Linked DNA regions of Struthio camelus. The protein of the gene in region 4 interacts with the protein of the main gene of each other region in a pairwise test. Links are inferred from orthologs where the notes say so. Each region holds a gene or a part of one and is shown on either strand. Other genes may lie near its edges. The genes, in order: TRIO, GOLGA4, KIF5A and EXOC1.

Region 1 (7,847 bases), on a different chromosome or scaffold from region 4:
ATATTTAGATATCAACTAGATAACACAGTACACTGCCTCACTTTCCTCCAATTCCTGTAAAGGTATTCCTCATTCAAATTCACAGTACATTAGGTTTTCACACTACACCTCACTTCCAGTTTAGCTTCTTTCTTCTGGAACCTCTCTTAGAATTTCAACCACAACTTCTTTACACAACAACTCAGAGTGACTTTACATTTACATAACCAAAATAGAGACTGGAAACGTATACATTTCAAGTGATGTGAACCTAGCAGCTGACCAAACACTCCAACAAAATATCTGCCAAATAACAAAACTCCATTTGTTAGGCTGCTCTAACTTTACCTCGGCCTTAGTCTTACAAAAGGACAGCAGGAAACCCAATAATCCCACTGGCAGTGCAACGGACCAGTTGTCCAGGATTTTAATTTTCCTCCTGGAAAACACCATAATGTTTTTGTTCATTTTCTCTTTTAAGTAACAGCTACAGATTGCTGACACTCTCTGCAAATGACAGGAAAAAGGAAGCATTCGTCATCATAAATACTGTAAAGAGAAAAATATTTTGTCTGTACTCACGTACACCAAACTAAGCTTTCTGCCTGTTCATTGATCGCTATGTCCATCCGCACTTTGTTGCTTCAAAACACTCCCTTCTGTGTTTCAAAGTGAAAAAAAGATACCTCCTATCCAAACAAAGGGAAGCACCAACATCACTCAATGGACCACAGAAGAATGGATCATGACTTAGAGAACGGAGACAGAACGTAAGGAGCTTTCCCCACTACCAAATCCCAGTGGAGAAGCTAGAACATTTTCCAGGGTATGTCACAGCCCAGGCTGAACGAGGTAACCCCTACAGGCACAGAAATGAGAATGCCATAGTTGTTAAATACACTCTAAGAGGTTTTCAATAAGCGTTTGACATGTCTTTCTACTGCTTTGAGATTTTCAGTTACTGCAAGACTGAGTTAATGCAACTTCATTGTTATCGAAAATCATCTGCATCAGAAATCCTTGCTGCACAGCTCACGAGCTAATTGAGTCTGTGTTATCCCTCTACCCACACGCAAATGTGGAAGCCAACTATTAATACCGCCGGCAGGACCTTCAAAACCACAGGATTACCAGACAATGTGTACCTACTTGTAACCATGCTAGGCAGACTGTAAGCCTAGTACTGGCATCCATCATTTTGCTTTCAACATGATTCTTTCTGCTGAGAATGAACAAATGGATTTTCCACGATGAAATCCACTGAGGCCAGCCTCTCTCTCAATTCGACAAGTTTTGCACTCATCACCGCCACGCGAAACAGGTTTCGGAGGGAGCATCACAGACACTCCATAGGAGTCTTAACTCACCATTCAGACCGTCTGTCCACACTCATGCCTTGAGCACCCTCGCTTCAGTGATGCCTACTGCAGATCACACCTCTTCCCTCATCTGCCTTAAACCAGGCAGATCCAACAACAAGCATGGATTGTGAGCAGCACCAATTACACCGCTTCTGACTTTCCTTAGAAACGCAATTAACACGGGCGAGGGGGGGTATTTTGATTTATTTTACACACCAAACTGGCCACCCCCTTCCTCTTCCCAGCGGTGAGTCTGCATTTTCCTTCCTGGCCCGCTCCTTTTTAGGCATCCAAACGGAGTCGGTGCCTAGCCCGGCCCTGCTGCCCCGCCCGGGTGCACCGGCCGGGGGTGCCGTGCGGTCGCCGGGGACGAGAGGGGACGGGAGGGGATGGGAGGGAGGGAGGACGGGCAGCCGCCGCCACCGCCGCCGGCGACCCCGTCCCCCTTAGGACGGCGGCGTACCGAGGGGAAACACCGACCGAGGAGGCGGCCTCCATTTTTTAATCCCGGCAGGCTGTCAGCAGGCTCCATCCCCCCCCACCCCTCCCTAGTCTCTCCAAAGCCAAGCCAGACTTTCCAGCTCGGCAGCACAGCCAGGAGCACGCGAACCGCACCAGCCCGGCGCCCGCTGCTGCTGCTCCTCCTTCACGGAGGCAGGGAAATCCCTTAGCGCTTCTTCCCCCCCCCCCCAAAAAAAAAAAAAACCACACACGCCTCCTTCTTCCCTTCGCGCTATAAATACCCGTTTTGAACGCTTCCCTCTCCCACCCCCGTCCTCGATCGCCACCGGCAACGCGGCCCCGGCGCGGCGTGACGGGCCGCGCGTTGCCTTTTATAGCAGTGTCATCTCGCAACCCGCTGGGAAGCCCCGGCCGGCGCCGCGGCCCAGCTCCCCCTGCCCCGCTCACGCGAGGGACGGCCTCTGCCTCCCGCCCTCGGCGGGCCAGGGCCGCACCTCCCTCTCCCCCCCCCGGTTTTAGAGACACCCCGCCTGCCCCAAGCGCCGCCGTACGACACCCGCGGCGGCCGTTAACGCGCCCGCCAGCAGGGGCCCGCCCCGCCCGCAGCCGTTAACGCACCTGCCAGCGGGGGCCCGCCCCCCCACCCCACCCCCGCGCGCGGCCGTTAACGCCTCGCCTCTCCCAGCGCGACGCCCGCGAGCTGCCGGGCCCAAGGCGAAGGGGCGCTGCCCCCCCCCCCGGGCCCCTCCGTGCAGCGGCAGCGCTCGGGGCAGACGGACACAGCCGAGGCCGCTCAGGGGCGCCCGCCCGCCCGCCCGCTCCGGGCAGCCGCCGCCGGCCAGGGGAGGGAAGGCAGACATCCCCCCCCACCCCAGCCTCCCGTCCCCGGGGCCACCTGACAAAGCCGGCTGCCCTCTCTCGGGGGAGGGAGGTGTCGCCTCGCCACCGCCTCCAGCCCGGGCCTGGCCGCGGCCCCTTTCCCCCTCCCCGGGGAAGGGGCCGCACTCACCGGATCGGAAAAACGCCGCTATGTCCGCCGAGTCCTTGGCCGCCTCCTCGGCCCCTTCCCCCGCGCCGCTGCCGGCCGTGGTGGCGGCGGCGCTGGAGGCGGCGGTGGCGGCGGCGCTGCTCATGGCTGCTGCGTGCGGAGGCGGAGGGCGAGACCCCCAAGCAGCGCCCCCACCGCGCCGCCCCGCTCACGGCTCCTCCGCGGCCGGCGGCGCGGGCCGGGCGCACCGGGCTCTGCTCCGCGGGGGGCGGCTTCACCTCCTTCGGGCGGGGGCGGCGGCTGGCGGCCGCGGCGAGCGCAGGGACATGGAGGTATGCGCGGAATGGCAGCCCCGGGAGCGCCCCCCCGCAGCCACCTAGGCGGCGGCGGCGGCGGCGTGCGCAGGCACCGCGGCAGCGCCTGCGGGCGGGCGGCAGCCGGGGCGCAGACAATCGCAGCAGCAGCAGGACGACGACGGCATGGGGAGGGCCGGCGAGCGGCGCGGCGCGGAGCCGGCGGGAGGCGAGAGCAGGGACGCCTGCAGCCTTCTTCCGAGAGAGCGAGCTGGAGGAGCGGCAGCTGCGCTAGGCGCGGCGGCGCTGGTGGCCGCAGCAACCGCCGTCCTCCATCTTGCCCGGGAAGAGAGTGGGAAGGGGATAGCGGGGAAAGGAAGCGAGGCCCCGCCCGAGGAACCGGGGGGGAGGCGGGGGGAGCTCGGGCGTCTCCGGCTGCGTCCGGCGCTGCTCGGGAGGGGGCGGTGCAGCGCGTCAGCCCTCCCGCCGAGCCCGCTTCCCATTGGCTGGGCGCGGCCGAAGGTGAGGGGCGCGGCCGAGGGGGCGGGGCGCAGAGCCGGCGGGGGCGGGGGCGTGGCCGGCTGCTGCCCGGCGCCCACCGGGGGCGCGACCGCGCCGTGGGGGTTTTTTATTTATTTACTCTTTGTTTTTATCTCGCGCCGCTCCTGCACGGCAGCCGAGCTGTGAAAATGAGGTTGTGAGGAGGTCGAGCTCGTCGAGTACTTTAAAGGCGTTGAAGCAATCCATTACCTCGCTGTCGGTACTGTAACTACGTATTTATTTATTGATTTTTGCTCAGTGATCTTAGGGCAGCTCTGAGGAGTTCTGTATCGCGGCCCGGTCCAGGGAACGCAACGGGAGCGGGCAGCTCGTGACGGCCAGCTCAGTCAGGTGCTGGGGCTGCGCTTGGTGGGGGCGCGCCCCCGCGCAGCCCCCTTAGACTGCCGGAATAAGGCGGAGGGCCGGTAAGGTGGAAGAGAGGCAGGTGGGGAAGGCAGTTTAGCAGTTGCACAGACTGATAAAACTGAGTAACAGAGCTCAAATGCTGGTGTCAGAAACGTAGCTTGTTAGCACACTTGCAAAGCAGAAGCGTAGCTCCAAGAATTAACCTCCTGAACCTTTGATAAGTCTTAAAAGCAAAGGTAACTTCAAGAGAAATGTGGTATTGCATTAATTTATCACAGTTGGGCGACGCAGACGTCCTTTTCCCAAGGTTGGTGTTTAGCTCAAGTCGTACAGCTTGATGAAAAAGCTTTTGTGCAACTACCCTTGCCCTAATTTCTCTTATAGAGGAGAGATTAGTTTTGACTGAAAAGAAGTTTGAAAAACGTCTTTCTTTGAGGCAGTGGGCCTGGGAGAGAGTCCCAAATTGGCACCCTGCTGGCAGAAGTGGTTGCAGGGTGAATTCCTTTCTGGCTGGCCTAGCAGCATCCAGTGAGCAAAAAAACAACTGGAACAAATGCCGCTGTTCCTCAGCGAGCAATAAGTTGACCTGGAAGTAGGAGTAGGATGTTGTACATCAACACAGAAGAAACTGCAGGACAATATGAAAGAATGGGGTAAGTTAAGGATACTAGCTAATGTAATTAGTAAAGAAAAAGTAATCTCCTGGAATCTCAACAAACTGAGCTGTCAGAGGCTGCAGAGCAAGGAGTGCTTGAGATGATTTGTTTCAGAATTTGAATTAGGTACAGCAGTGGAAATTAAGTAGTAATGATTGTAGAAACAGGAGCAAGATCAATAGTGTGAAGTTCACTGTCATTTGAGGCCGATTGTGCCAATGTTAGCTTTGGGAGACTGTTCTGTACCTTAGCTATTGAAGATAAGATAGTGACCATTTGTTTCCACCAAGTTGCTCACCCTGCATACGGTACAGTTTGCCAGTGGGTGCTAAAAAGCCAAGGTTCATTTAAACAATTTTGAAGGCTATATGACTGAAATTTTGTCCCTTCTCATATTTCCTTCATCTGCAGGAGATACTGGTTTTGTCTTTCATGAACACGCAGGAACCATGAATCATGTCCCCCACTAACAGACCCTCTCACCACTGTGAAACTGAAAGAATCTGAAGTGATTTCCACCTCATAGGATTTAGTTCTGTCCTTTGGCTGAGACTGATCAGCCGCAAGTTATTTACCTGTGGCAAAGATGATCCTTACGGACTTTCAGCAACCAAATATTGCTCATATCCTTTGCAATGTTCAAAAGGATTATAGCAATACAGTTGTGTGCGCTCTAAGGTTGATGATCCAACATTTGTTGAAGGATAGGTTACAGGAAATACATTAAGACAGAAACATCACATTATGACCAATTACTTAATGCATTGTAACAAAATAAGGATTTCCTTCACAGATATCCACCTTAGATCTCAGATACCGGGTTTAACATTTAAATTTTAGGGAATCAAGTTTCTTAGTCCATTTCTTCTTGATCATTTCAGGCTTGAAACGCAACAAAAAAAGCCAAGATATGAATTGTCTGTGTGCAGAACGCTGCATATTGAAAACTGAAAAAAAGTTCAATTGAAAAGTTGTGTAAGCTTGCCTACTTTTGCAACCTGGCATTAGGGAGCGGTCATACTCTTCAACTTCCACTTTACTTGTCTGAATGTTTGTCAACGTGCAAATGGTTTTGCACCAATTGCAATGGTAAATGCAGGAAAGGAAAGAATATTCTTCTTCATATAAAAGATATTTTAAGGGTGCTGAGACCTGCTAAACATCAGTGCTGCCAAGGCTGAGCTTCAAATTACAAGTGTCTTTAAATTGCACAGAAGGATTTTTAAAAAACAAAGATGTTGAAATCATGCTTAATTTAGATAGCTACTCAAAATATATATAAACATTTTACTTTGTATAAGCAGATTGTTCAATGAGATTTAAGCCTGAGAAAAAGAAATGCCCTAAGTGTTTTATCCTTTGAACGGTCTTTATTTTTCCTTGTATTTTGTCTTAGTCAGGTTGAATGGTTGCTCTAAAATCAGTATATCATCGCACAGACATCCTTGTTGCTGGTGAAGAGGTCTCTTGTGAGGGAAGAAGCTTGCGCAGTGCCTGGCTCTCTGTATCCAGGTTGGAAAGTGTCATGGGTCACATCATCTTTCATCCCTAAAGTAACATGCAAGTTGGATATTGCTCAAGTTCTTTTCCTGCACCATTTGCAGTCCACTTGGTGAAGCGAAAAAAAAAAAATTGCCCCATTTCTGTAAGATATTAAAGAAAACAGGGCAACAATTTCATTTAAAATCACTGATATTTATGAGTTTTCAGAAGAAGTAACCTAGAAACTCATTAGTGTGGGCAAGCTATCAGGCACAGGATGATACTGACCTTCGTGGTCAGTCAGAGTCGTCTCCCTGCTCTGAACAAGAAAACCCTTCAGTTGTGAAAAAAATGTGTTTTTACTATAGAGTTCATTTCTCATACTTGTTCCCATGCTTGACTGTTTTATTTCACAAACAAAACCTTAGAACATGAAAGATAGTGTGGGGACAAGACTTTCACATGGACAGCTCTTTAATGAAAAAGGTATGTGGACTTCCCTTCAATGTAGCCAGCCTACAAGAACTGTTTCTTACAAATGTTATTTTTCTGCAGCAGGCTTTCAGGGGATTTCAAATGAATCTATAAAACAGGGCAGAAGCACTTGTAGAAGCCAGTAGAGAAGGCCAGAGCAGCTGCTACTGTGCTTTTTAGATGACAAGGCTTCTTTTAAGATTGCAGCAGTTAAGAAAAGCAACCCAAGTTATTAATGCGTACCACCTCCCAGTTGCTATCAGATTCTAATCTAAATAGTGCTGGTGTTATAGCAACATTTGTCAATTTCAAATTATTCTCACTTCTCCAAGTACAAGATATCTCTCTTATCTGTAGAGTAACACTGAGGCATTTTCCAAGTTATCGTTATTGTCTTCCCCTTTTTTGCAGAAACATCCATGTCTTTTTGAAAATGCACTGTAGTTGTCTTCCACAGTACTATGTCTGCATGCTCCATTTCCCTATGCTATCGAATCAGGTTCCCATCTCATTATGTGGTGAGTTCCATCAGCTTTTGAAACTTCTGCCTTTGCCTCTTCATTAGTTTTTCTACTGTTTGAGTAGCAGTTAAATGTTTAGTAGCTGATAGCAGATGGTGTGAACTACCTCTCACATATGTAAAATATTGCCAGTGACCTTGAAAATATTTTCCACCTGCTTCCACCAGTGAGACCTTTCACATTCTGACATCCCCTTACAAACTTGGAACGGCACCGCTGCCACCCGCCAACACATACATTTCACAGATAACTCCTGCTAAGCACCTGCAAGGAGAAGTTCAGTACAATTAAGTCAAAAACTGCATACGGTCAGTGTTTGATGGTCACTACAACTAAAGCTTTCCTGCTCATATGCTCATGGTTGTCAAGTCTTAAGCAAAGAACCACGGAGTTTTTTAATAAGCTGCAGACCACCTTGTGTGTTTTTGCATGTCATTTACTGAAAATGTTAACCCTCCTGATTTTATTTATAACTGAACCACAGTTTTTCTAATTCTCACCATTTCAGAGATGTGCTAGCTCTATAAAAATCCCGCTCCCACTTCTGCTGCATGGCATGTACTGGCTTGTCAATGTCAAGGATACTTCTATTATATGTAGAAATTACATCAACCATCTGATGTTTTGTAGACTACTGGTGGCTTATAAGCCATCTGTTGACTAACCTCAGCCTAATAAAGTGTTTATTTTTCTTTTTACAGTTAGATAATCCTAATTCTATGTTA
Region 2 (7,033 bases), on a different chromosome or scaffold from region 4:
ACCTTAGTATTACCCTTGGATAAATGTTACTTCTGGATTTAATTGGGTGCAGGCTGGTGGATTTAGTCTCAGACAATCATAACCCAGCGTATAAATAACAAGTTTATGTCCTAGGGGAGAGGACATGCATAAAGCAGATAGAGTATGGTAGGAGAAGCAGTGGGAAAAAAATACCAGGATAGATTAAAAAAATAGATACACACACGCACACACACACAAACATATACAAGACAGAATAAGCAGTACAGAGAGTTCAGAGAAAGACTCCCTGCAATAGGGTATAGGAAGGAAAAGAACAAAAGTGAATATAAACAAAAGCATTTTAATATTAAGAAATGGTGAATATTTTTATTTTTGTTTGAAAATGCCTTGATAAAAAGTGACTGATAATCTATAAAATGAACACAGAGTACCCAATAAACGGAGTGCAGCTTATGTAAGCATGTAAATTACTAAAAGCAAGGGGCCAAAAGTTTATTCCATACTCTCTGCGAGAATCCAATACATTTTACAGGCCCTTCAGTACCTTCTCTGTCCTTCCTCACTTACACTATCTGTTTTCTTGTGACATTTGAAGAATGAGCAGATTAATCCTTTAGTTTTAAGATCAAGCTTAACTCAATTTTTCAAGTACTGATATTTGAGATCATTTTAAGAATAAGCAACATTGCCAGATAAATACTTTAAATAAAATAAAAATTTGTTAACATTTTCTGTTTCTACCTTTCAATTCACACCAAACATTGATCTGATCTACTCTATCAATAGTATAGAGAAACAGACGAAAATATCATTTATCATAAGCTCTAATAAGATTTCATAATAGCTCCCAGTGATGTTTTTGATAGATAAATAAAGGCTGCTGAGTATGTGCGTGACAATAACACTTACTCAAGCCCAAGTTTATCCATAAGGCTGGTTTTTAGTAAGTACTGATCCTCTGACAAATGAACTGCATGTTCTGGACTAAGTGAGTTACAATACTGTGTCAAAGATACATGATTAAGCTGCAGTGCATCAATAATATTATAATTTTGCAGTTAAATCTCTTTATGCTGCACTAAAAACCCACCACACATGCCCATTCAGTACGTTGCTCTAAGCTGCCACTGACCAAGCTATAGATGTTAGAAAAGATTCAGAGTTGATAGCTGTGAAATGATTTAAAAATAAAAAAGATAAGCTACATAAAACTTCACAAAAGTTCTACTCCTTTGCCAAAGATACTACCCCAATTTGATAAACGAGCAATTTTTAAACTATTAGTTAAGTAGCTGATATCAGCAATTTTGAAACTATGATCTCATACTAGGACTGTGCAATGCACACTCACCAGCTGGTTCAAATTACATCCGGATCACACCTAGGCAACCAACCATCTCTGTCAAATTAGGCAGACTGTCTGCCTATAGACTGCCATTCACAAGATACAGAGTTTATGCCAGTTTTATGTTTTTACATTGGTTTCAGAAAGGCAAAAGACGCTTAACCCAGCAAGAAGCCAGAGACATGCAGGCAGACAATACCTGATGCAACATCAAGTGCGCCAGTAGAGAGTTAACTTGGCAAGTTCTTCTACCAAATTTAATCTGATATAACAAGTTTATTCTGCTTCAACACATTGCATCAAGTGACTACGTTTTTTGGCCATTGTCACTCTCACAGTTAGGCTTCGTAACCTCAGCAAATCTACATGTGTAATACTGTCACTTAAGAACTGCAGTTTTCTAGACGCCAACACTAATTGCACTTGTATGTAAATACATACAGGAGAAAAATGATCAATTAAATTATCACTAAAAAAAAGATGCCTTGATCTCAGCTTTTCTACGTTTAAAAAAGTATAAGGTTAAAATAAGCAAAACAGCCCTCTAATTTATGGTAACAGAAGGGATTTACAGGAGTTGAAAGAACAGACATTAAGTAGAGAGGAAGATAAATCTCTGAAGCTGCAAGTTTGACTTCACGAGGGTCTTACATTATTTTTAAATAGCTACCAATGACTTCATTTATCAAATTTCATCAGGGACCAAAAAGCAATCGAATAGAAGTAACCCACTCTATTACTTGGTTATTTTTTTGTGTCATGAAACTTAGCTCCTCTAGAGGCAGCTAGTAGTGCAATACGCTCTAAGGGGTGGTGGATCAAAGATGATCCCGTGATCTCCATGCTGGATGGTTATCCAATGCGTACTAAAATGTTACTCCTTTAACTGCTTAAAAAACAAAAAATAAAAAACCCACTTCTGTTCAATTCTGTTTGGTGTTTTTAAGCAAGAGGTTTTTTTTTTTTTTTTTTTTAATTCCCCAAAAGACAACCTCTGTGGAGCGGCCTATGGGAGGGAACAGTTCTCCAGCCTTCAGAGACACAAGGCAGCTGGGTAACAACGCAACTCGCGTTTGGGGTTAGGCCCCGAGCACGCCATGCCGACAGCGAGCCGTGCCGCCGTGCCCTCCACCCTTCCCGCTCTCTCAGCCGGCCGCCGAGGGGCGGGGGAGGCTCAGGGACCACCGGCACAGGCCCTGTCACCGTCCCGGCCGGGGCAGGACCGCACTCCGCCTCCCAGCCGGCCGCCTCGGCCACAGCCTGCGCCACCCTCCTCCCCCCCCGCCCCAGCACCTGCCGCCCCTCAACGGCAACCACGGCGCGCGCCGCCTCGCGGGTGCCCCCCCCCCCCCCAACGGCTCGGAGGCGCGCGCGCGCGCGCCTCCCTCCCCCGCCCGTCGCCCCTCGCCCCGGCGCGCGGGAGGGGGCGGGGCCCGGCGCGGCGCGCGGTACCTGCGGCGGGTGGGGGGCCGCGCGCCCGGCCGCGCCCCGCGGCGGCGCCTGCTCCTCGCTGATCTTCTGCTTCAGCTTCTTGAACATGGTGGCGGCGGCAGCGGGGAGGGGAGCAGGGTGCTACCGCCCTGCACCCACGCTCTCGCGCCTCCCGCTCTGCTCCCCGAGGAGCCGCCGCCACCGAGTCTCCTTCCTGGGTCCCCGTTCCCCCCCCACCCCGCCCCCAACACCCCACTCGGAGCAGGTGAACGCCGCGGCTACTGCGCCTGCGCAGCCAACGTGGAGCTGAGCGGGCTGGACGGGACGGTACGGCACGCAGCGAGGCACAAACTTCCCGGAGGGATTCCCTGTCGTTTCCCCCCCGCCCCGCTCCCCGGGGCCGGGGCCGGCCGTGTCCCGCCCCGCGAGGCGGAGGCCGAGCCCGGCCGGGGCTGGCGCGCGGGGCACCGCGGTGAGGCGAGGCGAGGCGGCGCCGCGCCGTGCCGCTCCGCCTCCCTCACGGCGGCCGCCGAGGCAGCCCGGGCGAAGGGGTAGGCGGCCCGGCCTGCCCCGCCCCGCCCCGGGTGGGTATCCGGCGCCAACCGCCTGTACCGGCACCCGCCCCCCAACTGCCTCCTGCCCGGGCGGCCTGCGGCGGGGCGGGGGCCGCGGCACGGAGGGGGAAGGCCGGCCGGCCGGCCGGCTCCGACGTGCCCGCATCTCCTCGGCGCCTTTCCCCCTCCGGCCTTTCCCGTTTCCGTTACTGCAGCAGGCACCACCGATTTCAGCGAATCGCGGTTATCGGTCTGGTTGTTCTCGCGCTTCCCGGCCACCAAGCGTTAATCCTCCGCCGCCGGGAGGAGGGGCAGTCCGCTACCTCTGTCCGTCAGGAAGGTGGAAAAAAGCAGGGTGTTGGCAACAAGGAAAGCCACGTCTGTGCCGGGTTACTTCCCTTTCCACTGCTGCTCGTTGTCCTAGGGGCCACAGAAACCACTTAACGTCATGGGTTAAACCTCATCATCAGCGCGATCCTTAAACCGCGGTAGCACCCAGTGGCGTCTCGGCGTTTCTGTTGTCACGGGAACTAAAGCAGTAACCTCAGCATCTCCTTAAAAGAAAGAACCGATAGCCAACAATGCGCGGCAATGTTATTTTGTTGATGGTCGAGGTCTGAAAGTAGTTTTCTGACCACTTGACTCCGCGTGGGGCAGGGGTGCAGGAGCGAGCCGCCCCGCGCCGTTGGTCTGCTCTGCAGTAGCTGACCATAGGCAGCGAGCCCATCGTCGTGGCTCTTCAGCTTACTGCAGCTCCTGTGCGTTGTAAAGTCGAAAAGGGAAAAGGTCCGCCCAAGCCTTCGTGCTGTACTGTGCTGTTAGGGTTAATCTGTTCGTTTCTGTAGCTAAAAACATACTAGGAAAAAAAATGCAGCTAATTCCACGTTAAGGAAGTGGAAGATGATTCAGCTCTGTGCTGTTTTTTTTTTTTTTTCCCCTATTTTCTTCCGTAATGGCTGTTCTCCGGATGGGTGGATAAACCATTACAAAGCAATCCTTTTCATCTTGAGGGGGTATGGTGAAATAATGCAATGAGCTGACTTGCCAGAATGTTAGTCATAGGAGTGTATAAGCCCTTGCATGACACTGTCAATCCGTGGTGATTAGCGATAGCTTCATGCACTTTTGCAATGTGCCAATTGTGGCTTGTGAAAGTTTGTGACTAAAGCATGCTCGAAAGTTGCTTTTGTATTTTATTAAAAATTTATCTGCTTATAATTAAGTCATGTTTTTGGTTTGTCCTGAAAACTTGTGAGTACTATTCTATTTGTAAACCTGAGGTATGTTATTTATACAAGTAAACATGGACTCTGTTACAAATGGATATTGTTTGCTGAACACTGAATGAAAAAGTAAGCAAGAAATGCTGCAACAAACAAACTGCAGTAAGTTTTTCTTAATTTTTGCTACATGTATTAAAAAAAAATAATTTTTCAGTGGTCTGTTTAGCTGCAGATAAACTAGGAGGCTGGTAGGGATCTTCCTCTTAGGACTACTATGAAAACTTTGGATGGCAGCAGTGTTGTGCAGTCCATTGATTTCTTGTTAGGAATGGCTATCTGTTGGTTTGAACCACCTTTCCAGAAGCTAGTCTGAACCTACAAGCCACAATAGTCATGTATGTATTTTGAAGATTTTTATATTCTCTTTTCTATAGGTGGGCTTGGAAACAGAGGTATAGGAAAGAGTCTCCAGGACTAGGAGGGCAAAAATATTGCTATTCTTCGCTGAATAGCAATCTGCAAAGAAATGAGAAAAAGTGGACAATTAAGCTTACTGCAGCTCATAAAAAAGCATAAATTCCGTCAATTTTACTTCAGTCAATTTTCTCTAAATATTGCATGCAGCAGTAAGGCAATGCCTCTCTCACTTGCTAGCCTGAGGAATGCTCTGGGAAACCCTCTTAGGACTACACCCTTGGGTGTCCTAATAAATCTGTGATTTTTCTCATGTCTGCTACTCTATCTTGAGCACACACGTTCTCTTCTCGCCTTCAGCATCTGTAAGTACACTCATTTAAAATCTAAGTCACTAAATGCAAATCTGAATTTGTTGATTAGATGTGTATTGAAAGGAAAGTAGCTCCTGCAGCTATCAGATGAAAAAGCAGAGCTTGCAGCTGCCTCTTCTCTTGCAGAGCATTATCCTGGTGGATTATCTGTTGAGATATCAATGTGGTAAGCAGTCTTTCTTCTTTTCTCTGTTTCTCTCATGTCTTCCATTACAGCTGCCACTGCCTTTCCTTACTTCTGTTATTTTTTTTTCTCTTTAATGTTTTTTCCCCCTATTTATATAGGTTTCTTCATTCCTTCATAATATGTATCCGTCGCAAAAGAAGGAGCGCTATATTATTTCTTTGGAAAATCTAAAGCTTGAGGTAGTTCGTGTGTTATGTTTATTATGAAGCGTGTTTCTCATAGGATTGAAAGCTATGGAGCAAAGAATGAGACTAGGGACTATAATAAAAGATAAGTTTTCTCCTATACTAAAAATCCTACTAACTACATTATAGAAAATGTAAGATGATTGATTAATTGGAACTCGGTTCATGAGTTGTAATGCTACTAACTCAACATGGTAATCACATGGCAATTAGACATTTTCCAGAGGATTTTTCACAACAGCACGGTGTTTTATTGTTTAAATTCCAGTAGGCGTAGTCATCTCCTGTTCCCCAAAGCTGCTTAAACTGGGTTTCAGGAAGAGGTGAAGTAATATTTGTACGTATCATTTTATCATATATAAGCTGGTGGCATTTCATAAAGATCATGGACAAGGAATGAATTTTTTTACTTTTGAGCTGGTACAAAATTGTGTTTTGTGATGCGCAGCTACGTGTCTTAGCGCCGCTTAGATAATATAAAGCGATATCTCACATTAAGCAACAGTATACAAATTCTGAAGATACTTTTGCTAACTTTGCAAGATACAATCATAAGTCTTCTAAAAAGGCTTTAAATTCTGTAATTCCTGAGCAAGTTTTATTACAATATACAAACCAATTACTCCAAACTCCATCGTTCTGGAGGAATTGTCTGTAACCATAACCAGTTTTCCTTCCCTCTGTTGGGTGTCAAAATCCCTTACATAGCTGGATAGTACTTTATCTGCAGAAAGTTCATTTGATTTTAGTAGGCTTCTATGTGAAGTGAGAAAGTAGTAATTGAAAATGAAGATTTGCTCCTCTTTTTTTTTTTTATCTTCCTTAGTTACACCATATGCCAAACGACCATTATTTGACATTTGTATTGTCTGTGAAGGATAAAAATACGCTTCTGCTAGCATGTACTGGTTATGGTAGGTTACCAAGGGGGAAGTTCATTTCCCACATAAATTTGTGGCAGTTGTTAATATACCTCCATGGGAATGCGAGTAGAGCATTAATGTAAAAGACTGTGTTTTAATAGCAGTCTAAACTGCTCTAATTGTTAGTGACAGTGACAGTGGTCCACACATCCCTACAGTCCTATTCCTTGCATTGTGCCAGCTACAGTGCTTGTCAGACCTTTCCCTCCGCCGTTTCAGTGTGTTGAGTCTGCAGAAAACTAACCTGACAAAAGAGCAAATAATTTTCTGCTTACTGTGCTGAGTTCCGTGCGTACATGAGCTGTTGCAAGAGAGACAGAGGCAGCTAGAAGCTAGATAGGTTTACGATGCCAGAGTTCTTATTTCAGGTTGCTCAGGAATGTATGGTCTTTGTCGAGCAATGTGCTTAACTGTA
Region 3 (7,986 bases), on a different chromosome or scaffold from region 4:
AGACAACATGATTAAGCCGTACAAGGGGCTTTGGCGAGCCGGGGCCGGGCCGGCAGGCGGCAGGGCTCCCGCAGCAGGCGCGGACGTGCGCCAGCCAAGGCAGCATTGCTAATTCATGCCGGCGGCCGCCGCAGCAGAGCCCACACCCAGCCGCCGGCCTGGCACCCGCCCGGCAGGGACTGCGGCACCCGCGGCTCCCCGGCTCCGGCGTTATCGTCCTCGGGCCCCCACGGCAGCTCTCTGGGCCCAGCCAAGGGGCCCTAAATCCTTTATTTCGTGGGGTAGGACATCACCGCTTCCGGTTTGGAGCAGCCGAAGGGCGAGGCTCCCAGAAGAGGAAACCGGAGGAATTAAAATCCCGGTTAACCCTTTGCCTCCTGCCTACAGCTGGGGCTGCATGGCGGGGAAAACGGGTGCAGGGGAGGCAAGTCACGGACACGGCACCACTGTATCACCGATGGCGACTTCAGAGTATCTGAGGCCTGACTGGTGCTGTTTGGGGTGAAAAGAGCCAATTTCAGTCTGATTTACTGACTGAACCTGCCAGGACATGGGGGTCAGCAGGGATGCATTTGCCTGCAGGTGCCAATTTGCCCTGTCGTGTTTTTTTTACCGCTCAACGGGAGTCCGAGTGCCCAGCGTCCTCCCGCTGCAGCCATCCAGCTCCGACACACAGGGCCCAGGCATGCAGCACGCGGAGCGTCACACCAACCCCTACGTGGCAGGACGGGGCCGAGGCTGCGCTGTCCCGTGTCGTTCCCCCCCCCCCCCCTCAAACACCAGCTGGGCCACGGCGAGAAGCCGGGTCTCGCCCCCCGCGCCGTCGAGGCCTGGCTCCCCCCCACCCCAGCTTGGGAGCACGTGCCGGCGAAGCGGGGCCCAGTGGGCGGGCAGGCAGCAGGAGGGAAAAGGATCTGCAGCGCCAGCTGGGATCCGCGGGGCCGAGGCAAGGAGGCAACGCGAATGGCACGAGGCAGCGGGGCGCCGGGAGGGCGCACGTCACGCACGCGGCAGAGCACCGGGCCGAGCGAGCGTCCCCGGGAGCACACCAAGGTGGGGATCATGGCTCCGTCAGGGTGGCCAGAGCAGTCGTTCCGGCCGGGAGCCGCCTCGGCCAGGAGCGCGGGCGAGCGGGAGCCCTTGCCCTGCCTCCCAGGCAGAGCTGGGAGCCGCCTGGCCGCAACGCAGCCCTGCCTGCGTCCCTCGTGCCATAACACGCAGGGCCTCGAGGACGGGGGCTCGGCAGCCTGAGGACAGAGCCGACCCAGCCCTGCCTGGGCGTCAGCCCCATCTCAGGGACACCACGGTCAGGTCAAGGCTGGCAGCCTCGAGGACGTGGCACGCATCGCTCCCAGAACAGCCACGGCCTGCATGCAACAAACGGGCTGCGGCGCAGGGCTGGGCCGCGGGACCCTACTGCTATTTGGGGCTGTTTTTATGGGGCCTGACCCCCGTCGGCGTGGCCCCTGTTGTCCTCCGCATGCTGCCAGCCTGCGTTTCCCGTGCCCGGCCCCCCAACCAGGCTCACGTCCATTGGCAAAGCCAATGGGGGGGGGGGGGGCGGTTCGCCAGCCCTGCTCGCGCCTGCTGCCCTCAGCTGCGTTACACCGCGTGCAGACCCTGGGGACAAGGACAGGGACAGCCACCCGGCACTGGGCAGGGATTAAGCCCTGCCAGCGCTTCGTGGCCCCCCGAAAACGTTTGCAGTTTGACCAGGGGGTGAGCGTCGCTGGGACGCAGCACCGTGGCGGGGGGACGTGGCGCTGCAGAGGCGTGCGCGGGGACAAGGGCCGTTTCCCGGTCCCGGCGTGCCGGACATCTGCAGGAAGGCGGCACAGGCAGGTTCGCGCGCACCCGCCGCGCGGCACGGCCCCAGCGAGGCCTTACCGCGTCGAACTCGGCCTGGTCGTCCTCGGGCAGGTCACTGGTCTCGTACACGTCCGGTTCGTTCCTGGCCTGGCGATGTAAACGGGCTCCGGTGAAACCGGGTGGTGGCGCGGGGCCGGCCCTGGGGGGTCAGGTCACCCTCGCAGCACCCACAACCACCCAGCCCAGCACCCCAGTAACATCACTCTCACCATCAAAGATGCCCACAATCCCCTCAGCGCTCCCTACCGTTACCCCCACACCTCAAATCCCCCCACAAAACACCCTCAGGTGCCCCCTCAACCATGGACACCCCCCTGCGGTTACCCTCCCCCACATACCCTCAGTCTTCCCAAATATTCCTGATCCCTCTTAGACACCCCCGGCACCTCCCTAACACCCCAGTTACTGTGCCAGGTTCCTCCGATCCCCCCTGGACAGGTCTGCTCCCCTTCAACAGTCCCAAGTGCCCTCTTTCTCCCCAAATGCCCCAGTTACTGTCCCGGGTTCCCCTGATCCCCTCCAAGTGGGGGGGACTCCCTCAAATACCCCCCCACTTCCTGGCACCTCCAATCTCCCCAAATGCCCCATCTACCCCTCCAGCCACCTCCCATTCCTCCGAGGCACCCCCTAATCCCCTCAGCTACCCCCCAGCCATCCTCGATCCCCCCCAGCCACCCTTGATCCCCTCAGGCCCCCCCCAAAAGCCTCAGACACCCTCAATTTCCCCCCCAGGCACCTGGATCCACCCCAGACACCCCCGATCCCCTCAGCTACCTCCAAAAAGCCCCAGGCCCCCTCCATCCCCTCAATGACCCCCCAGACCCTCCCGATCCCCCCCCCAGGCCTCCTCCATCCCCTCAATGACCCCCCAGACCCCCCGATCCCCCCCCAGGCCTCCTCCATCCCCTCAATGACCCCCCAGACCCCCCGATCCCCCCCCCAGGCCTCCTCCATCCCCTCAATGACCACCCAGACCCTCCCGATCCCCCCCCCAGGCCTTCTCCATCCCCTCAATGACCACCCAGACCCTCCCGATCCCCCCCCCAGGCCTCCTCCATCCCCTCAATGACCACCCAGACCCCCCGATCCCCCCCCAGGCCTCCTCCATCCCCTCAATGACCCCCCAGACCCCCCGATCCCCCCCAGGCCTCCTCCATCCCCTCAGTTACCCCCTAGACACCCCCGATGCCCCCCCAGGCCTCCTCCATCCCCTCAATGACCCCCCAGACCCCCCGATCCCCCCCCAGGCCTCCTCCATCCCCTCAATGACCCCCCAGACCCCCCGATCCCCCCCCAGGCCTCCTCCATCCCCTCAATGACCCCCCAGACCCCCCGATCCCCCCCCAGGCCTCCTCCATCCCCTCAATGACCCCCCAGACTCCCCGATCCCCCCCCAGGCCCCCTCATCCCCTCAGTTACCCCCCCCCGCCCGGCCCGGCCCGGCCCGGCCCGGCCCGGCCCGCACTCACGATGCCGGGCAGGTCGGCGTACTTGGGGTCGGCCATGGCCGGGCCGGGGCCGGGGCCGGTACCGGTACCGGGTCGGGCCGGGCGGCGGCGGCGGCGGGGCGGGGCCGGGCGGGACTGAACGAGTCTCGCGAGAGCTGCCGGCGCGGGGCACGCTGGGAAACGGAGTGCTGGGGGGGCGGGGGGCGGGGGGCGGGGGCCGCTCTCCGCGCGCCCCCTTCCCTCCCTGCGCGCGGGGGTGGGGGCGGGTGCACCCGGGGTGGGGGAACACGTAGGGGTGCAGGGGGGGGGTGGGTGCACATGGTGGGGTGCACACTGGGGGTGCACATGAGGGGGGTTCACTGGGGGTGCACAGGGGTGTGGGTGCACCCCGGGGGTGCACGCTGGGGGTGCAGAGGGGTGTGGGTGCACATGGGGGGTGCACACTGGGGGTGCCCTGCGGGGTGGATGCACCCCACAGGGTGCATGCTGGGATGTGCACGGAGGGTTGCACATGGCGGGGTGCACAGTGGGGGTGCCCTGGGGTGTGGGTGCCCCTCGGAGGGTGCATGCTGGGAGGTGCACAGAGAGTTGCACATGGGCAGGGTGCACGCTGGGGGTGCAGAGGGGTGTGGGTGCACATGGGGAGATGCACAGGGGGTTGCACAGTCGGGGTGCAGAGGGGTGGGGGTGCACATGGGTGTGAGTGCACACTAGTGTCAGAGTGCACAGGGTGAGTGTGCGCGGGTGTGCGTGTGCAAAGGCGGGGGTGGGCGCCCACACAAGAGCGTAGGAGCGGCCCCCCGGGTGGGCACATTCCAGGGTGAGTGCCCACTGCCGGGAGTGCACACAGGGCACCGCTGATGTGGGGCGTGAAAGCGCATGAGGTGGGGGTGAGTGCACACTCCTCTGAGTGTGAGTGCCCCCCCCCGTAAGGTGTGTGCAGGCGCTGCCTGCGGGTGTTTGTGGGTCCCTGGGGGTGAGGGGAGGGGTGCTGCAGCCATGAGCTGTCCCTGCATTGCCCCCCAGCTGGACGCCCAAGGCCCGGACGGGCCACCAAGGACACGAGCGTGCCAGGCCTCAGCTCTGGGCTAGGCCCTGCCAAGTGCCCGGAGGAGGCTGGGGGAGGGGGGGGCCGTGAGTCAGGACTCCTGGGTCCCCGGGGCTGGGGGGAGGGGAGCTGATGCCCTGCCGGGGGGGGGGGGGCAGGCAGAGAAAGGGGGGGGGACCAGCCCTGCAGCCAGCCCCGGGGGTAAATGCCCTTGAGGCTGCGGCTGGGCCAGTGCTGCCTTTGGGCTGGGGTCCTGGCCCCCTCCCTCTGTGGGGTCAAGGCCCCCCCGGGTGTCCTGCCCCCCTCCTCCAAACACTGGGAAAGGGACCCAGGCATCCTAACCCCCCCCCCAGCCTCTTCCCCAGCTGAGAGAAGGACCCAGGCGTCCTAGCCCCCCCCCTTTGATGAATCAGCAGTTTGGGGAGGGCAGGTGGCAAGGCTGGGGCTGCCCTTGCTGGGGGAAGGGAATACACTCGGGGGGGGGGGGGGAACCCTCGCCCCCCTTCCCCATTCCGGCTCCGTCCACCTTAAGGGCCGCGGGCGGCTCCACCTTAACGGGGGGGGGGGGGCGTGCGCGGGGGGGCCCGGCCTCCCCCTCCTGGTACCGGGGCTGCGGCGGCGCCGCGGTCACTGGAGCACGGGGCAGCAGCGAGCACCGGCCGCCGCCCGCACCCGCCGCCGGGCCCTGGGTCGCATCCTGAACTGCTGGGTACCACTCGCATCCCCGGCTACCACCCTGCATCCTTGGGTACCACCCGCATCCCCGGGTACCACCCTGCATCCTTGGGCAGCATCCTGCATCCTTGGGTACCGCCCTGCACCGCTCGGTCGCATCCTGCATCCTTAGGCGCTGCCCGATCCCTAAGGAGCATTCTGCATCTCTGGGTCGCATCCTGCACCCCTGGGTCGCATCCTGCCTCCTTGGGTGCTGCCTGACCCCTAGGGAGCATCCCACATCTCTGGGTCACATCCTGCATCCTTGGGTACCACCCGCATCCCTGGGCAGCATCCTGCATCCCTGGGTCGCATCCTGCACCGCTGGGTACCACCTGCTTCCCTAGGTACCATCCACATCCCTGGGTCGTATCCTGCATCCTTGGGTACCACCCTGCATCCGTGGGTGCTGCCTGACCCCTAGGTAGCATCCCGCATCCCCGGGTGCCACCCCACACCCCTGGGTACCACGCGGCCCCTGGGCAGCATCCTGCACTCCCAGGTGGCACCCCACACCCTTGGGTAGCCCCCAGCACCCCTGGGCACTACCTGCATCCCCGGGTACCACCTGCATCCCAGGGGCGCTCCCAGCATCCCTGGGCAGCACCCCACACCTTTGGGTAGCACCCACCTCTTGAGACCCCCCCTCAGTCCTCCGGGACCCCCCGGCACCCTCCAGCATGGTGGAGCCCAGCACCGAGTGCAGCATCAAGGTGCTGTGCCGGTTCCGGCCGCTGAACCAGGCCGAGATCCTGCGGGGGGACAAGTTCCTGCCCGTCTTCCAGGGTGACGACAGCGTCGTGGTGGGGGTGAGTGTGAGGAGGGGGACAGTGACCCCAGATCCCCCCAGTGGGGCAGAGGGGGACCCGGCCCACCCAGCTGTGGTGGGATTGGGGGGGGAATAGGCAGCCGGGGGGGTACTTGAAGGGGCAATAGGCAGCTGGGAGGGGGATTTGGGAGGGGATAGGCAGCCGGAGGGGTACTTGGGGGGGGGCAGTAGGCAGTTGAGGGGGGATATGGGGGAAAATAGTCAACTGGGGGGGTACTTGGGGGGAATAGGCAGCCAGGGGGGATTTGGGGGGGCCATAGCCAGTCGAGGGGGTGCCTGGGGGAGGATAGGCAGCAGAGGCATGGATTGGGGGGGGTTAGGCAGCTGAGGGGGGGGATTGGGGGGAAATAGCCAGCCAGTGGGGTACCTGTGGGGGGGAATAAGGAGGGGGAATCGCCCTGGGTGTGGTCAGCAGCGAGGGGACCCAGAGCACGATGGGACGCAGCCTCCTCGTAGCTCCCCCCAGGGCGTTTCCCCCCCCCTCCCCGCAGCACCCCTCATTCCCCTTCTGAGGGCTCTGGGTGCCCCCAGTCCCCCCAGTCTGTCCCAGTGCCCCCCGAGGCGGGGCAGCTGTTTACAGCGAGTGGAGACACCCAGATGCCCCGGGGTTGGGGGGGGGTGTCAGTGCTTCAGCACCCCGGCAGGATCGGGCCCGGGGGGGGGGGGCAGTTTGCCGCAGATCCTCCCTGCAGCACGGCCCTGCCCGGCCCTTTGTTAGGCTCTACCAGCCCCCCCACCCCGGTACCGGGGGGGGGGGGGGAGCTGCTGGAACCGGAGCTGGGAACCCCCTATAATAGGGCCTGGTGCACCGGGGGGGGGGGTTCCTGTTCGGGGGGGCTCCTCGGCCCAGCCGGCCTGGCCCCCCCCAGCCCCGGCATGGGGGGGGGCAGGGGGTTCCCCCGGAGGGGACAGGGGGATCCTGGGGGTTGTGTAGCTCTGCGGCTGTGTCATGTGGGGGTGCAGCTGTGTTGGGTGTTGTCGCACAAGGTGTTGCAGTGCCACGCGGCTGTGTCGGGTCGGGGCAGTGCGGGGCGTTGTGTCGGTGCACAGCTGTGCCGGTGCATTGCAGGGTGTTGTGTGATTGTGTGCCGTTGAAGCTGTGTGTCGCAGTGGTGGCTGTGCCAGTGCAGGGTGGAGTGTAGCGGTGCGGGGTGTCGGGTTTGGGTGCGGTTGTGTCAGCGCGGGGTGTTGCGTGGCTGTGTGCGGCGGGGTCTGCGTGTTGCTGCGCTGGTTGTGTTGCGCGACTGTGCGGCGCAGGGCGGCTGCGTGTTGCTGCGTTGGTTGCGTCGTGCCTGTGCCTCGCCGGCTGTGTTGTGTCGCTGGGCGTGCGGTGCAGGCTGTGTGCGGCTGTGCTGGGGGTGGCTGTGCGGGGCTGTGCGGCTGTGCTGGGGGTGGTTGTGCGGTTGTGCGGCTGGGCCCCGTGCGTTGTGTGTCCCCCGGGCGGCGGCGGTTCAGCACCGGGGCCTGGACAGCTCCCGCGGCCGGCGGGGGAGGGGGCGGTTGGGGGGCGTTTGGAGGGGTGTATGGGGGTATTGGAGGGGTCTGAGAGGATGATTAGGGGGTGTATGGAGGGTCTGGGGGGGTTGAGGAGTATATGGGGGGCTGGGGGTGCTCTAGGGCATGTATGGGGGGGGACTGGAGGTGTCCAAGGGGGTCTATGGGGGTCTGGGGGTATTTGAGGGGGTGTAGGAGGATCTAGGGATGTTTGGGATGTGCATGGGGGGCTGGGAGTGTCCAAGGAGGTGTATGGGGGGGTCTAGGGTTTTCTAGGGGGATGTATGGGGGCTGGGGGTGTTTATGGTTTCTGGGGGGGGGTCTGAGGGGGTAGAAATATACAGGGGCATGGGTCCTTGTGGGAGCATTTGGGGGGCCTGAGGGTATATGGGAGGCTGAGACTGTATAAGGGCGGGTGTGAGGTCTGGAAGTATATGGGGAACTGAGTGTGCCTGAGGGAGTATATGGGGGGCTGGGGGTGCATGACAGCTAATATGAGGGAGCTGAGGGGTATAGAGGTCCTGGGAGTGTATGGGAGGTGTATGGGAGGCTTGAGAGTGTTTGGAGGACTGGGGGTGTATGGG
Region 4 (7,658 bases):
ATAAAGATATCAAACACACTGTGTATTGCTAGGCTGATCTGATTGCACTGTAGAAAGTCTGTGTCCTGAGGTGCGGCAGACTCACTTTGTGGTTAGTATCGCACAGCTGGGGCACATGAGAGAGAGAATATGCTAAATTTTAAATAGAAAAAACTGACAGGCTAGATAGCCAATCTTTGAATTGATTTATCTTTCAAAATTGTTTTCTACATCACATTTCCTGATTTTGGTTATACAGTGTAGTTTGAAAAACAGTATTTTGGGATTCATCTGCTTCTTCTGGAAGACTTCTCCAAAACTGAATAGGGAGAAACTTATAGGAGAGTAAAGGATAATCAGAAATGCTTTTGTAGCATTCCTATAAAAGGTGTCAACTAAATGATGGAGTGCATTCTTACTCAAGACTCTATGTAGACTACATTCAGAATACAGGAATTGCTATCTGCCCTATCTGTGCTCCAGAGAAAAGGAAAAATCTAGCAGCCTGAAAGTAAAGAAGCGTGATAATGAACAAAGACGACTTTTATGCATACTTGGATAAGAGGCAGAGAGAGAAGAGAATCTCTCATAAAAGATGGATGATGCTTTTTGTCCTAAGAAGTATCCTGTATTTTAACTTTTAAACCAGTATCAGAAATAAGAACAGGTGGAAAGAAAAAGGATTTAGGAATATTTTGTTTGTAATACTTACTGATATCATATACATCTCCTTTTTTCTGTACTTAAATGATTCATAAATTTCCTGCAGCTCTGTACTACAAAGAGCACTTAATATCAACATTTAGAGAAGATGGTGCCAAATCAACAAAAAATACACTGGTGATATTACACTGGTATTCATGGATGCAAGATAACATTGCACCAGCTAAGAGCCTCGAGCTTATATTTAAAACAGAAGAATTCTCTTCCTGTATGTTTATCTTTCATTGATAACTAATCTTTTCCTACATTCTATATAAAGAAAATATGGAAAATGAACAGTTACTTCTCATTAAGGCTGGAACTTATGCTTCTGTTCCCTCCTGCCCCCAATCCACAGGTCTAAAACCAGGAAAGCTCAGTCCTGGATCAAAGCAGACTTTTTAAAGCCATTTCTGAAGGGAAACAGACCAGGGCCTGCTCCAGACTGACTTCTCTGTTACTTCAAGTTCTTGTTCTCCTTTGCATACCGGAGTCACACATATACTGACTCATCTCATCCCAAGTATGCCACTACTCTCCTCATACTACTTCTTTCTCTGTCACCTGCCTATTCCCCAATACTTTCAGTTAGTTTCACAGTATAACTGTTGTATCTTCTCCCAGTAAAATGGGAGTGTATCATGTAATTTGTAATATGTAATTTTGGAATATTTTTTCACAAGTTAAGGCTCATATTGGAAGATCGAATCTATGGGAAGCTGAAATAGGAGGAGAGAGAGAATGGCACTGTGCATACTGTAAAATGATCTCATAATGACTGTTTTAACAAGTATAACCACATTTTAGCATTAACCAACTAAATCTTGCTTTTTGCACTGAAGCAGAATGAACAGCTAAAGACAGAAAACAAGGAGGGTTTTGGACTGTTAACAGTAAAAGCTTTATGCAAACCTATCCAATCCTTTATGGCTGCTTTGTCTAGTCTTTATAGATCCAGGCAAAGACAGTTTCATTTTGTGGGTGAACTGAAAAATTACCAAACTGTAACTTCTCTCTTAACCTTGGCCCTCATGAATGATATATTACAGAAGAAGTCTACAGCATGCTGTTTTGTAAGTCAGAAAATAAAAGTACATGCAGCAAGACTGTATTGGTCAGTAACATTTAATGTTTTCAGTCAAGCGGGAAGCTAATAGAATAATGATGAGATCACCATTTTATCTGTTAAAAATCCACATGTATTGGCAACTTAACTATTATAACTTGGAAAATATATTTACTGTTGCTTTGTATTGGTAATGGCCTGGCTAATAGATTTTATCAATCATACCTTAAAGCCACAGTGATGCATTAACGTGACATAAATCATATAGTTCAAGTAATCTGTAATGTTTTCAGTCTTCTCTTAACTCTGCCCGCAGGCCTTCAAAAAAATAGTATATTAATTTATATGAATAATGATAAAAATGAATGAGGTATATTGATCATGTGAAGAACCTCCTTCACAGCAATAATTGAGCTATAAGGTGGTTTCCCACTGAATGCAACGGTGGCTACAAGTAGCTAAGCCCGGTTTTGGGCATCATTTCTCATGGTTATATTCCAAATGCTAGATGTCACAATTAGTCACAGAGTAACTTTTCCCTCTGACTTATCACTGGCATCAAAAACTCTGAATTACTAATGGCACTTTGGGATCGGGGGAGAGCCAAAATATGAGTGCTTTTCATAGAAGAAGTGATATCAATCCTAATGCTGTGGCCAAATTAGAGTTATAATTGTTCCCTTGCAGCTGCAATCAGATATAAAATTCTTTGTCACTTGAAATTCTGAAATACTGCCATGTTACAATGTTAAGAAACTTCCTTCAGTACCAGATATATCTGCATTTCTTTTATGTACACTGTAAAGGTCACACCTTTTTTTGAAATTGAAAATGCATAGCTCCATTAATGGTTAAATTCTCAGGCATTGTGTATGACAGGCAACAAAAAGTGCAGAGTATTAATTACTTAAACTTCATGACTTCATTTTAAAAGTGTTAGGTCATACTAAGCATTTTAAAGACTGTACTGTTTTTTTAGATCTCCACAGAGAAGTTGCGAAATATTCATTTAATGTATCATACACCTAAAAATCCATTTGTGATAAGAACAGTTTAATCAGTTTAAAAAAATGGAGGAGGGAAAGCAGTAAATATGGAACACAGTTGTACCGACTGATTACTTCCTGAAAAGCTGTGGAGAAGGATCCAGACATGCTTAGATCTTACCATCTCAAATACCTTCTGTTTACATTTAAAATTGCATTTAGGATTCAGTGTTATGAAAGTTCATCCCATTTCCAAGAATTTTTCAGTAGAAATCCACCCACAGTTTTAAGAGAAAGAGAAGCAATTCTTGAGTTCTGGCTAGCCTCTAAATTCTATCTATGATAATAAATTAGTGAGCCATTTTTAGTAGATATAATTTTCAAACATTTTAGTTGAAACCTCCTCCACTAGTTTGAGAAGTGCTATGAGAGAGGAGAAGAGCAACTAACTCCCATCCTGTTCCTGCAAGTCAACTGCTGGGGGAAGGGAGATGCTTCATGGTATCTGTAGACAGAGATCCTTGATAAGTCTTCTCTAGCTCATCACAAATTACTACAGGTAATCAGCAAGAAGCAACTATTTAGATAGCAGGTCTCAAAACAATCTGTCCAGAGAGTTGCTAGACAGGGATCTGAGAAAACACTGACCTGTAACAAAGAACGTGCTACTTGTATTTAACCTAATTCATTGATAACATAAACTAGGGTAAGGCTATTCCAAGATGCAACAAGGGTAAGAGGATACATGAAGCGAGGGTTGACAGTCCATGCTAGATATAATAAAGCTAATGTGAATGGAAAGAATAACATCTAGGAGCCTTTTTCCTCCCCTAAAAACATTTATCTCCTAAAAGATGTAGAACTTCTTAATAACTCTGCCACGAGGCCAACTGATGACAAAAGAGACATCAGAAACTAGCTGACATTGTATCAGTTTTGCTTTTGGTGCCATCCATGTTATTTCTCCCAAGATACTACTTAACTATTCAGCTACAAACTCTTTGGGGGACAAGAGTTCAGCCTTCATACTTGCATGTAAAACACCTATCACAGTTAGTAACACAGAGAGATTATGTCTGCATTATTTTTGTTGCTACTTTATGACTTGCAATTACCACAGACAGCTATGTTTTACAAAACAGCTGGCCGAACCTAACAGCTCACTGCTGCTGGAGGGGGCACCTTCCCCCTAGCTCTTCAGCCTCCCAGGAAGCTTTTCAGGTTCTGCTCTCATGAGCTGAAGTAACTCACCTCAGAAGCAGGCACAAACCACCTCAGGGAGATACACCTGGGAACACGGGGAAGGAAGCAGGACCACCTTTTTGCAAGGCAACGAGACACCAGAGAAACACAGGGGCCTCGTGAGAACCTGCCCAACCATTTCCCCTGCCAGAGAGTGGCTACGGAGCTAGAGGGGTTCACCTCAGGCTTAGACATTTAGAGGGCACCCAGGCAACGCCTAAAAGCCACCACGCGATTACAGCCTCAGCCTAGCAATGCCACCTACCCGCTCACTAGGCTTTTATAGCCTAGGCCGGCTGAGCACCGCCCCCGCCAAGCCCCGCCGCGCCACACGCCGCTCCCGCGGGCACCGCCTGAGGAAGGAAGGGGACACGCCCTAACGGCCGCCGCCGGCCCCGCCCTCGCCAGCCCCGCCCCTGGCGCTGCCCGCCCTCCTACTGGCTCGCCCGCCCCTCCCTCTTTCGTTGCCCGCCCCCTTCCCCCCGGCGCCCGGGTGCGTTGCATAACTTCTCCGGTAGGGGGCGCGCGCGCGCACTCGGCCTGGCGCTCTGTGGACTTTCTAGCGTGTAGTCTCGCTGCTAGGCTGGGGGGGGGGGGGGCGGTGCTAGGGTCACGTGAGCGGAGGGGGCCGCGGCGGCGCAGCTCGGCGGCCGTTGGGGGCAGAGCGCGGCGGGGGTGGGGAGGGTCGCGGCCGGAGCCGGAGCCGGAGCCGGAGCCGCCGCGTCCTGAGGCGGAGGCGCTTCCCTTCCCGTCTGGCCCGGCCCGGGGTTTGCGGTGAGAGCGAGGCGGCTCCGGGCGGCTGCTGCCGCTCCTGTTCCCGGAGCGGCACCGACATCCTCTGCCCCTTCCCCCTCGCTAGGTGTGAGGGGCCTGCTCCGGTCCCCGGCGGCCGTGTCCGGGCTGCGGGCGCGGGTGGGGCCGTACCGGAGCGGCGGGCGGGCCGGGGCTGCGCCTGTCTGCCGCCAGCGGCCGCGCAGGGGGTCCGCGTCTCTGCCCGGGGCCCTTTCAGCAAGGCTCGCAGGTGGGAGGCGGCGGGGCTGGTGTCGGACGGGCGGTTTCCAGCCGCGGCTGCGATAAGTGACCCTCCTGAGCGTTCCTCTTACACGAGTGGTCTTTTGTTTGACCGTTGGCTGTGAACGAGCTTCCCCGGAATTTTACAGTTAGGCCGCGCTCTTACATTAGGTTATTACCTGATACGATATACGAGTGTTAAGAGTTTCCTGGTTGCACACGTAGAGAGGCCAAGCAGTGCACATTAAGTAGCCTGGCTGAGTTGCTCTGTTGAATCTCTCCTATATATTTCCTGTCTGTGAGATGATGTCTTTGATAGATTTCATGCAGAAGAGGCTTTAGCATTACCGTATTGAAAAGATTATTCCAGCAATCCCACAAGGGACTTATTGGAGCCTGAATTGGGCTCAGCTCTCTCAAAGCGTTTTTCTGAGGAAGTAGCTTTGTCTCCAGCTTCTTGTATCTACTTCTGTGCTCTGGGATGGCAAGGGTTGTAAGTCATGGATGAAGACTGCAGTAATGTACTTGGTCCTGACTCACAGTGAAGGTTTTGGGGCTGTGACTCAGTGTTGAACTAGTAACAGAAGTTGGACTATATGTCAAGTATCTGATCTTGGGATTGATGTCTCCTCTTTTATAGGAAAGGTGTATTCTGCACAGCTGAGAAACTTTGCTTTAGCAAAAATGTGAGGATCAGTGAGTAGCAGCAGTCAGTCTGAATGTGGTTTAGAGCAATAGGTGAAGTCCTGACCAGAAGAGAAAGGTGATATTTCCAAAATTAGCAGGCTGTTGGTACCTTGTGTGTTCATCTTACACATCTGTTGAAGAATAACTGAAATGACAACCTGAAGCAATTTTGGAAGAAGCTGGACCAAGCATTTGAAAGGAGAGGAAAGGTGTTAGAAAGCCGTTAACGGTGGAATATTACAGTGCCGTAGAGATGTCATATAAACAGCATTTTTCTTGAATATCCTGAACTCTTGAGTGCTTAGCAGTACTGATTTCAGCTTGGTATATTGGCCCTTTTCCCCCAAAGCACTTGGGTTACTAATTGTTAAAATTTATCTTGGACTTATTCCAAAAATAGTTGGACTTCTATCTATATTATGCATGTCTAGATTATGATTCATTAAATTACCTGTAAAATGTATTTTTTAAAAACTGTAGTTGCTATACCTAAACGTATGTTCTTATTGTATGTTTTAGTAGCCTCCTCAGTCTACTTGAATGTAGTATGAATTTTTGAAATTTTTCAGCTGGGAGAAAATGACTGCAATCAAGCATGCTTTACAAAGGGATATTTTCACTCCCAATGATGAACGCCTGTTGAGCATTGTGAATGTATGCAAAGCAGGCAAAAAGAAGAGAAACTGCTTTTTATGTGCCACGGGTATGTCGTAATACCACATGATATTTTTGTTTTCACCCTTTTTATTCACTTGCTTTTTTCTTAGCTTTATGTACAATATTTATTCTCGCTCCTTATAAAACAGATGCTTCCATTTTTAATGGAAAAATTAGTTGTAGCTTATATCTGTTATTGCTTCTATTAAAACAGAAACAAAACCCTTTGCTTTTACTCTCAGATCTTATTGTAACTTGCAAGGAAGGAATCAAAATTATTTGTGTTGGACTGGGTGGGCTTGTGAAGCAGGCCTTGTATGGTGCTTAAAAGGAGATTTAGTAGATCTCTAGACTGATCAGCCTAAACATGATGCAGCAAGGAGTGCTGGTTAGAGTCCAAGACAGAGGGATCTGGAAAGGCACAGGATTTTAACTGAGTCCTAATGTTCCTTTGAGAGCACGTCCTTTATATTACACCTCTTCCAAGAAGGTGCTTTTGTCCAACTTATCAGTAAATTAGCTGACTGGATTTTTTTTTTTTTTATGACGAATCTCAGAAAGCATTTTTAATCAGGCTAGAATCTCCATTGACTTCTTTGTTCCCTCAGTGATGTGGCAGTGCGGCCATAGTTCTGCTGCACCAAAGAAATAGGCATAAATTGGCTTCAGGACTTGAGAAGCTGTGCAGAGCTGCACATCTGGATGACTGAAATTTAAACTGAGCTGTGGGTATTGAGGATGAAACTTGTTTCGAGGGCTCTGTTCTCATCAGATATAAAATAAGCTTAAGTATAGCAGAAACAGATGTTAATGTAGTTTGAGTGTTTCAAAATTGCTCTTATACTTCATTTAACAGTGACAACGGAACGTCCAGTGCAAGTAAACGTGGTAAAAGTGAAAAAGTCTGACAAGGGAGATTTCTACAAAAGACAGACTGCGTGGGCGCTTCGAGATCTTGCTGTGGTTGATGCCAAAGATGCTGTTAAAGTATGTGTAACTTCTTTTAGTGCGAACTCTACTTGGGACACTTTTACTTCCAAGTCAGAGCTAACTTGGCTATTCATTGTCATACAGCTTTGACTGATAATGTGTTAATTTGGGTTTAAGATGATACATGTTTATTGTATTTTCTTCCAGCCTTCCCAAGAATATAACCCTAGTAAACTGAGTCTGAGTAGTGCAGGTATGCTTGAATTGAAATATTCTGAATATCTTCCCAGTTTACTGTGAGCGTCTCTTAGGTTCTGTATAGTACTTGTGCTAAGAACCAGTACTTTTTTTCTGGTTCAAGTCCTGTGTAAATTTTGATTCAAAAGTTTAGTTTCCCT

What was found.
Region 1: the proteins of EXOC1 (region 4) and TRIO interact in a two-hybrid assay, tested with the Homo sapiens proteins (2 studies listed by BioGRID and IntAct). The link is inferred for Struthio camelus from reciprocal best matches to the Homo sapiens genes EXOC1 and TRIO.
Region 2: the proteins of EXOC1 (region 4) and GOLGA4 interact in binary tests that used the Homo sapiens proteins (3 or more experiments, as listed by UniProt). The link is inferred for Struthio camelus from reciprocal best matches to the Homo sapiens genes EXOC1 and GOLGA4.
Region 3: the proteins of EXOC1 (region 4) and KIF5A interact in a two-hybrid assay, tested with the Homo sapiens proteins (2 studies listed by BioGRID and IntAct). The link is inferred for Struthio camelus from reciprocal best matches to the Homo sapiens genes EXOC1 and KIF5A.

What each region holds. Positions count from the first base shown.
Region 1 is NC_090943.1:82,825,925-82,833,771, reverse strand, and holds the start of TRIO (triple functional domain protein), read right to left. Parts: upstream 3,007-7,847; 5' UTR 2,936-3,006; coding exon 2,812-2,935; intron 1-2,811. UniProt on the Homo sapiens protein: Guanine nucleotide exchange factor (GEF) for RHOA and RAC1 GTPases. Involved in coordinating actin remodeling, which is necessary for cell migration and growth. Plays a key role in the regulation of neurite outgrowth and lamellipodia formation.
Region 2 is NC_090943.1:54,286,060-54,293,092, reverse strand, and holds the start of GOLGA4 (golgin subfamily A member 4), read right to left. Parts: upstream 3,007-7,033; 5' UTR 2,867-3,006; coding exon 2,780-2,866; intron 1-2,779. UniProt on the Homo sapiens protein: Involved in vesicular trafficking at the Golgi apparatus level. May play a role in delivery of transport vesicles containing GPI-linked proteins from the trans-Golgi network through its interaction with MACF1. Involved in endosome-to-Golgi trafficking.
Region 3 is NC_090969.1:2,321,168-2,329,153, reverse strand, and holds the start of KIF5A (kinesin heavy chain), read left to right. Parts: upstream 1-4,969; 5' UTR 4,970-5,172; exon of another isoform or gene 5,173-5,730; 5' UTR 5,731-5,759; coding exon 5,760-5,888; intron 5,889-7,986. Other genes in the region: DCTN2 (dynactin subunit 2), read right to left, coding at 1,888-1,956, 3,339-3,374. UniProt on the Homo sapiens protein: Microtubule-dependent motor required for slow axonal transport of neurofilament proteins (NFH, NFM and NFL). Can induce formation of neurite-like membrane protrusions in non-neuronal cells in a ZFYVE27-dependent manner.
Region 4 is NC_090945.1:56,369,994-56,377,651, reverse strand, and holds the start of EXOC1 (exocyst complex component 1), read left to right. Parts: upstream 1-4,658; 5' UTR 4,659-4,749; exon of another isoform or gene 4,750-4,996; intron 4,997-6,242; 5' UTR 6,243-6,252; coding exon 6,253-6,376; intron 6,377-7,186; coding exon 7,187-7,317; intron 7,318-7,658.